Arabidopsis thaliana: one gene and its partner. The protein of the gene in region 2 interacts with the protein of the main gene of each other region in a biochemical or structural test. Each region holds a gene or a part of one and is shown on either strand. Other genes may lie near its edges. The genes, in order: RD21A and LOG2.

Evidence for each region.
Region 1: of the proteins of LOG2 (region 2) and RD21A, one has a biochemical effect on the other in vitro, tested with the Arabidopsis thaliana proteins (one study listed by BioGRID).

Annotation. Positions count from the first base shown.
Region 1 is NC_003070.9:17,283,659-17,287,258, forward strand, and holds the start of RD21A (Granulin repeat cysteine protease family protein), read right to left. Parts: upstream 2,092-3,600; 5' UTR 1,952-2,091; coding exon 1,477-1,951; intron 936-1,476; coding exon 700-935; intron 602-699; coding exon 461-601; intron 114-460; coding exon 1-113.
Region 2 is NC_003074.8:2,995,967-3,000,118, forward strand, and holds LOG2 (RING/U-box superfamily protein), read right to left. Parts: upstream 2,290-4,152; 5' UTR 1,870-2,289; coding exon 1,367-1,869; intron 1,186-1,366; coding exon 678-1,185; coding exon of another isoform or gene 663-677; exon of another isoform or gene 592-662; coding exon 436-591; 3' UTR 213-435; downstream 1-212. UniProt on the Arabidopsis thaliana protein: Acts as an E3 ubiquitin-protein ligase, or as part of E3 complex, which accepts ubiquitin from specific E2 ubiquitin-conjugating enzymes and then transfers it to substrates (in vitro).

The DNA of each region.
Region 1 (3,600 bases), on a different chromosome or scaffold from region 2:
CTTTTACCCCATGAGTTTCTCACAATCCAGTAATCTTTGCCGTTCTCAGTTCCGTATCCAACCGCCACAACTCCGTGGTCTAGTTGTGTTCCACAACTTCCATCAAATATACCCTTCAGATGAAAAGATCACATCAACACATTAGAGACAAAGGTGACTAACAACAATATGAACATTTTGAGACCAAAAATAGTGAAAAGCTACTTAATATTCAACCACCTATTAGATGCAATTGTTTCATGCGTTTATATATGAATAAAACTTTACATTTTCAAACACTAGCAACATTTTTTTCAATTTTTCATAGAATTCTTTTGTAAAGTGTAAACGCAAACACCAAACAGAGTTTCTCCTTTCGTTTGTAATTGGCGTATACAATTAACAACAGAAGTGAAATGGATTTATATGCATAAAAACTAACAAACACCTAAGAACTATGAGAAGATGGTTAAATTTGTACCGAATCATAGAGCTGGAACGCACGACCACCAGCCTCAATGGCAATGCTAATGGGTTGATGAGCAACTGCTTTCTTCAACGATTCCTCGCTGTAAGTTGGAACATCCTCATATGAATCGATAGTGACAACTTTAGCGTTTTTCTGTAACAAGAAACCCACAAGAGGATTGATATAAGAATCATAAGTTGTGTTAATAATCAAATGTAATTCCTTGTCAAAACAAAAACCAATGTACTTACCCTGATCTGGTCACAAGTTCCATCAACACCCTTGTAAGGATAATCTTTGTCTGTATCGATTCCACCATTCTTGATAATGAACTCAAAAGCATAGTCCATAAGACCTCCGTTACAACCTTCGTTGTATGAAGTGTCACAATCGACCAACTCTTGTTCAGACAAGGTTATTAGGTCTCCGGTTACGATCTGGTTTATTCCCTCCACTGCTCCAATGGTTGAAAACGCCCAACAACTCCCTTCATTACCAATCATAAGTGTCAACAACATCAGCTTACAACAAAACATTAACATCAAACAGGAACACATATATTCTAATATCAATGTTCTGTAAGGAGGACTAAAATAATGTGCAATTTCTAACATAATCATGACTACGAAATTTAATGTTATAGTTAATCAGATTCATTCATAAACCTTATAACTGAAATTCATAACCAAAATGTACACATTTGAAATGCTGTGAGCCTGTAACCAAGTAAAACCTTATTTTTATGCTTAGGACAAAACAACTATAGCTCACAAGCAAAAATAACTAGACTATAAGTCAACGTCTCTAATTAAGTAATGACTAATGACCTATACACATGATGATTTGTTAAATTATTAGTACTATTAATTTCATTTATTGAGTTTTGTCTTGCTAACTAACACCCATAATTTCCGGAAGGGGCAAATATGTCATTTTCCAAAAGTTTCAAAACTTTATGATTGAATCAAAAAATGATATACTACGATAAGAGTAACTAAAAATGATGGTTAGATCCAGTAGAAACTTACCGCAACCACCCTGATCTTTGACCTCAGCCACGGCTCCTTTCTTCCTCCAGTCAATAGACTCCGGTAGCTCATCACCGACACGAGCCTCGTACCGTAGGCTAGTCCTTCTCTCACCTTTCTTCTCCATCTTAGCTCCAAGATACTTGGATCTATACTCATCGTTAGTAAGATCCGCAAAACGAGTCAAACCCAATCTATAACTAAGATTCTTCTCGTTATGTTCATCGACGAAACGAAGATTGTCTTTAAAGATCTCGAACCGTCGATCTTTCTCAACAAGAGAGTTCTGGCTCTGAGCCTTGCCGTGTTTCACCAACCATGCCTCGTAGATACTCATAACCTCGGCTTCGCTACGGCCACCGGTGGTGGAGACGCCATGTTTCTCGTCGTAGGAGATGATTGACATGTCCACGGCTGATGAAACGGCGACCATCGCTAGAAAAAGAATCGCCATGGTTGGCTTAAGGAACCCCATTTCTTCTTCAGTGTTTTCTTGGAGAAGAAGAAGAGAAAATGATGAAGAAGACGATTGTATGATGGACAAGAGATGGTGGTGGGGTATATATAAAAGCCAAATGAGATAAGTGTAATAATTGTTAGTTTTCTATTTTAATGTTTTCGTTCGTCACTCTTTTTAATTTTCTAAAATAATGGTGACTTGTTCCGAATTTTTTTATTAGAAAGTTCAATTTCGGAAAGGAAAAAATCCGTATGTTAGAAGAAAAAAAAGATAGGAAAAATCCAAATTATTTTTTTGATACGATAGAGAAACAATAAAAGTTATATGTATCCAACAAGTTGAAACGGAATCAAAACAGAAAAAAAGAATTAAAAATAAGTGGATCTAAAATAAATGAAGATAAGTGATTTATGGGCTTCTTTGTAGATAAGATATCATATGGGGTTTGACAAAAAAATAACTCCATGTTGAACTATAATTGAAACTGAAAAAAAAAAGAGTAGCAAATCAGATAATAAATAGTAAATAGTGCATTATTTACAATTTTTCAAATAATGTACATTTACCACTATTACTCATGTTATATTTGAACTAAAAAGAGGGAACCCAAACCAACATCAAATCATTTTTTTGTTTGTTATTATTATCCCTTTTCTCATTTCCTCTTTTTCCCAACAAAAATTTATGAGTCAAGTTTTCTTAATAATATTGAAAAGAAAAGTGGGCCAAAATAAATCTTGAGCCAAAAAAGAAAAGAACTCAAATCATTCTTTTTGTCATTTTAATAAGAAAAAAAAAATCAAAAACTTCAAATAAATGAACAAATCATCTCTAAACTTATACTTAATTGTATTTATTTTCTTAAATATTCAAAAACAAAAACTTGAGCCAAAATCCGATTTAAAAATCCTAATTAATTTCAGGGTCGGTTGAGATATTTTGATAAGTGAAAAAAAAAACAATAGTGTAAAGATGAAATCTATAAATGTGAATATGTGATGGTCAATTATTGGTTAGACAATATGGGTAGGAAGAGATGAGACGTCACTGATCTCTAATTGGCAAGCCAAAAATAAAATGTCCACACAAATAGGAGCGCGTGTTCTCACGTATTGTAAAAGACGCGTGGATAGGATTGTTACATGTAACTCGAGATTCTTATGAGTTTTTGATAATATAGAATCTAAAGTCTTACAAGTTACCATTATGAAATTAGATTGTTGTCTCTATTATTATGATTCCTTCCGAAATTAAAAGACTCAAAATATTTTCTATAATTTATTCATTTTACTCAAACTTCTTTAATATAATGCTTTCAAGAGTTAGCTTGTGACAATAGAACACTTGCTCTCTTTTTTTCGTCAGAGAATTAATAAAAATTATTATATTCAAGTGACATCGAATATTATACTTATCAAAATAAAAAAAATAATATTGTAATTTAGAGTTTTGGAAAAGAAAAAACTCAACAATAGTTTTGCGTGTAGAGATACACTGATGACGATATTGGAATTTATACATTCAATAAAAAGTATTAATGTGAAACGTATAATATGACTGAATAACGAATCATTAATTAGTATTTTAGAACTTTATTACACGCTAGTGTACATATGGCCAAAAACATTGAGACACAACTAACGCTCCTAGCCTAAGGGGAACTA
Region 2 (4,152 bases):
AACCGGAAAACTCGGGCTTAGGGCCCAATAGTAGAGGCGGATAAAAAGAAATGCAGGCCCATTTGACCACAAAACGTTGGAGATTGCCCCTTTTAAATAAGAAACGAAGGGGTCAGCTATATAATTGAATGTCATGTTGCCGCTACTATATCTCGTGTTTTCCATGTTTAAGTTTCTGTCTTATTGCAACTAAAATGGCTTCACCTGCCACTGCAACTTCCGGTTGAGCAACTAGCTAAGTAAGAAACTGCCTACTTTGTTGTTGTATCTAATGAAGAATGTTTCAAGTATTGTGTCATTATGACTCCAAATGATTTCGTAATCTCTATATTATGAATTGACAATCACACATTTTGTTGTTAACATACAAGGATCAAACATGCATATACTACTAATATTTCGATGGCATTTCAATCCATACTCGGCCGTGTTTAGCTACTCTTGTTCAACTGTTTCTCCCTGTCCGGTGTTATTCCCGCTTCCGTTGTTACCGTGAACTTTTATCTCCAAAAGCCTTTCAACAGGTTGCCTGCAAATGGGGCATCGATTTGTCTGAAACCTCAATACCTTAGCACATCCGCTACACATACACTGCACCACCAAACCCAAACAATTTTTAACATCTATATATATGTCCATCATCACATAATAGTAGTAAATCATCAGCTTTCACTTACCATATGTCGACATGGAAGAACAGTGGTGTCTCGTGGTTCAGACAAACATATAACACATTCTTTACCAGGATCATTAGCATCATCAGCTGAATCATCATCCCCCTCAACTGTATTCCCAATCCCATAAATCTCCTGCAACTCATATCTCGTTCCATTAACCCATAGTATCTGCTTCACCACTCTAATCTTAATCTCTCCTTTATCCTTCTCATAAACCGCTTGAGTAATCTGCGCATTCTTCGACCCCGACCTTTCTTCTTCTTCATTCTCACCACCTGAGGGAGCTGCTTCTGCCTTAACCGCTAATGGATAGATCTCTGTGTCTGCGGCCGCTTTGAACAGCTCAACGTCCTCAAAGACCGAAAAGTCTATACCAGAACCAGATGATTGTTTAAACTTCTGACCAAGTCCTTTCTCGAAATCTAGAGTGATAGGTGGCAGTATATCTTCCTTTGTCGCTGTGAGTTTGCAATCTTCGGATTCTTTAGCAAAGAAAATGACACTAATCCTATTTTTCACAAGTCCAACATAATAACATAAGCTTAATTCAATTACACATGAAGAAGATTTGATCAAATTGCAATAAGAAGATCCAAATTACATAGTCACGAGGAAGAACACAACAAAATTCACGTGTTATCTGCTCAAATGGATCACGAAATCAACGAAAGGGAGAAAGTGAAATCTACCTTCCGGAGACGGTTGCATCAAACGTAAAGGAGACGAGAAAGCGACCCGGATTATCCGGGTCGGGTTCAAGCCTAAGAGACTCCTTCTTGAGATTAACGTCGTTACGAATCGTGACGGCTTTCTGGTGTTCAACGTAAGGAGTCGGTTGAGCCATCATGTGACCAGCATAAGGGTATCTGGCCATCGCCACGGGAGCCCAAGAGTGGTTGTGGTAAGGATGCGGTGGATGATGTTGGAGGTGGTGGTCGTACGGCGGAAGAGGCATGGCTCCCGGGGGAGGATGGTGGTAGTAAGAAGCAGGGTACTGGTAAACCGGATTAGGATTAGGATTAGGATAGGGAGTAACGGCAGCGAAAACGATGGGATTAGCTTGGATTTCTGTAGGTAGAGGTGGTGGAGGAAGAGAAGAAGAAGGAGGAGGAGGAGGTGGTGGTGGAGCCGCCGTATGGTTTCGCCGTCGACGGCGTCTACCTTCACCACCGCTGCTGCTAATGTTTCCCATATGTTATTGGCGTTAAACCCAGATCAAAAAGACAAGATTTTTTGGTGACCCAAATGATCAAATCTCAGAAAATTGCTAAATTTGTGGGTGGATCGGAGATTCTGGGGATTAATATTGAGTGAAATGTAAGGAATTACGAAAAGCAAAAGCAGAGAGAGTTTAGATGAATTAAGAAAGAAAGAAAATAAAAAGAGAGAGAGAGAGATAAGAGAGAATAATTTAGGAGAAGAAAGTGGGTAATGATATGATGAATGGGGTCAGGTTGGCCAAGAAGCTCCACCCATGAACATAAAACACCTCCCACCCTCCTTCGATGGTGTTTATGTTCCCAAAAAGCTTTCTTTTTTTTTTCTTTGGACTTTTTTTCTCCTTGTTATTAATAATTACGTTGATTATAAGGAGTTTTGTCTTTTCAAAAAACAAAATTCAACACGAGTACTTAAAAGAGTTGAGGTGTGTTATATGACGACAAAAATATAGAAAGAAAGATGTTATCTTTTTAATTAGAAACACATTCCCATTAATTATTAGAGCATCTCCATTTGAAGTATCTCAATAAGATACCCAATAAAAAAAAAAAATAATTAAAGAAGAAAAAGTATGATAGAAGGAAAAAAAAGTAGAAGAGAAGGAGAGTTGAATTTCTCTTCCGAGAAACTTTGAGAAACTATTCTCATCCAATTTGGACAAGTGTCATCATACTATTAATTCAATTATTAAATAATAATTAATGTATCTGTTTTAATTAAAATATTATTTTTATTTTTTTTTAGAATCTTTCCTTGTTTTTACTGATAAAGATGGTCTTAAGATTTTTATTTAGGTCTACATTAGGATTAATTTGTTCATGCTTTAAAAAGATGATGTTATTTTCAGAAACCATTAATTGAGAAATCCAAATATTTTACAGAGTGAAGAAGTTGTCGATCATTGCATAGTTCTGTCTTCTGTGTGATTAAAGAGTTAAAAGTCACTTGTGCTGTCCGAAATGTATACTAGGCAATAGGCATTGTCTACTTTCCGCTTCTAGACTTATATTGCCTAAATATCTACTAGTAATTAGTGTGAAGTTTAATATGTATTCCTAACAAAGTAGGCTATACTTTATTTTTATTTTTAACCTATAATAAACCTACTTTTTGCCAACATAATATTCTTATATACAGTAGTCCGAAAAGATGAACTGGTATTTTGGAATTCATATTTAAACTTGTTTTGTCGTCTTTGAATAATTGTGTATAAGTTTAACCCAAAACACAAAACAAAACTGATGTATACTTTAATGTCTTAAAAATTAGTGTTTCTACAAAAGCATAAGCTCCGTTGACCAAAAAGAAAACATAAGCCCTAAAAGAGTTTTTATATTTTCAAAACCCTAAGCTAATTTTTTAAAAAATTTGTATGAATTTAGAGTCAAGAGATCACCATTAGCTAAAAAAAACGTCACAAAGAATAAAAATATATAAACATTCTTTCAAAGGAAGATATATATATATATATATATATATATTCAGTAGCCAGATTAAACTGTAACTATTGGATGTTTGATATTACGTGAAATTATATTACATGTTGATTTTGATCAAAATCAAATTATATTCGTGATCATATACAGATAGATATCATATTGAAACATTCCCATACGAAGGTAGTGGTGCGATTCGAAATCAAAAATAAATAAAGAGACATAATAGAATCGCATACCTAACCACTCGCACACACTTTCATTAAGCAATTCCAAAAGACGAACATATATAAACTAAGAAAAATAAATGGGAATCAATTATAAAATACTCTATATATAGTGGGAAACGGCAGACCGGATATATCATCAAGTTGGATACATATGTTGTGTAAAATCTGTAAAATCAATTGTATCAATTTATAGTTATGTAGACCTATGATCGTGACATATATATATATATAAAAACTAAACTTTGTTCTCTGTTGAATGTTGATGCATCTTTGTTATAATTTACAGGATAACAAATATGACGTCGAACGTAGCATCTTCTTGGAACACTAATGTAATATACATATGTCAAAGATTTTCTTAGGTTTGAGTCACTATGATTGAAATAGATCGAGCTCAGGTGTTTCTAAGAAGATATTTCGTTAATTAGTGAGTATGCTTAGACCCTTACATTATCTTTATGATACTAGCCGATAATTTATCTGAAGTCCGCATATCAGCAACGTGTCACGTACTATCTACGAATCCATCTAAAGCCAAATACTTTCATTAACTTCATTTTGTCGTTTCCTCAGAGGTGATGTTACCCT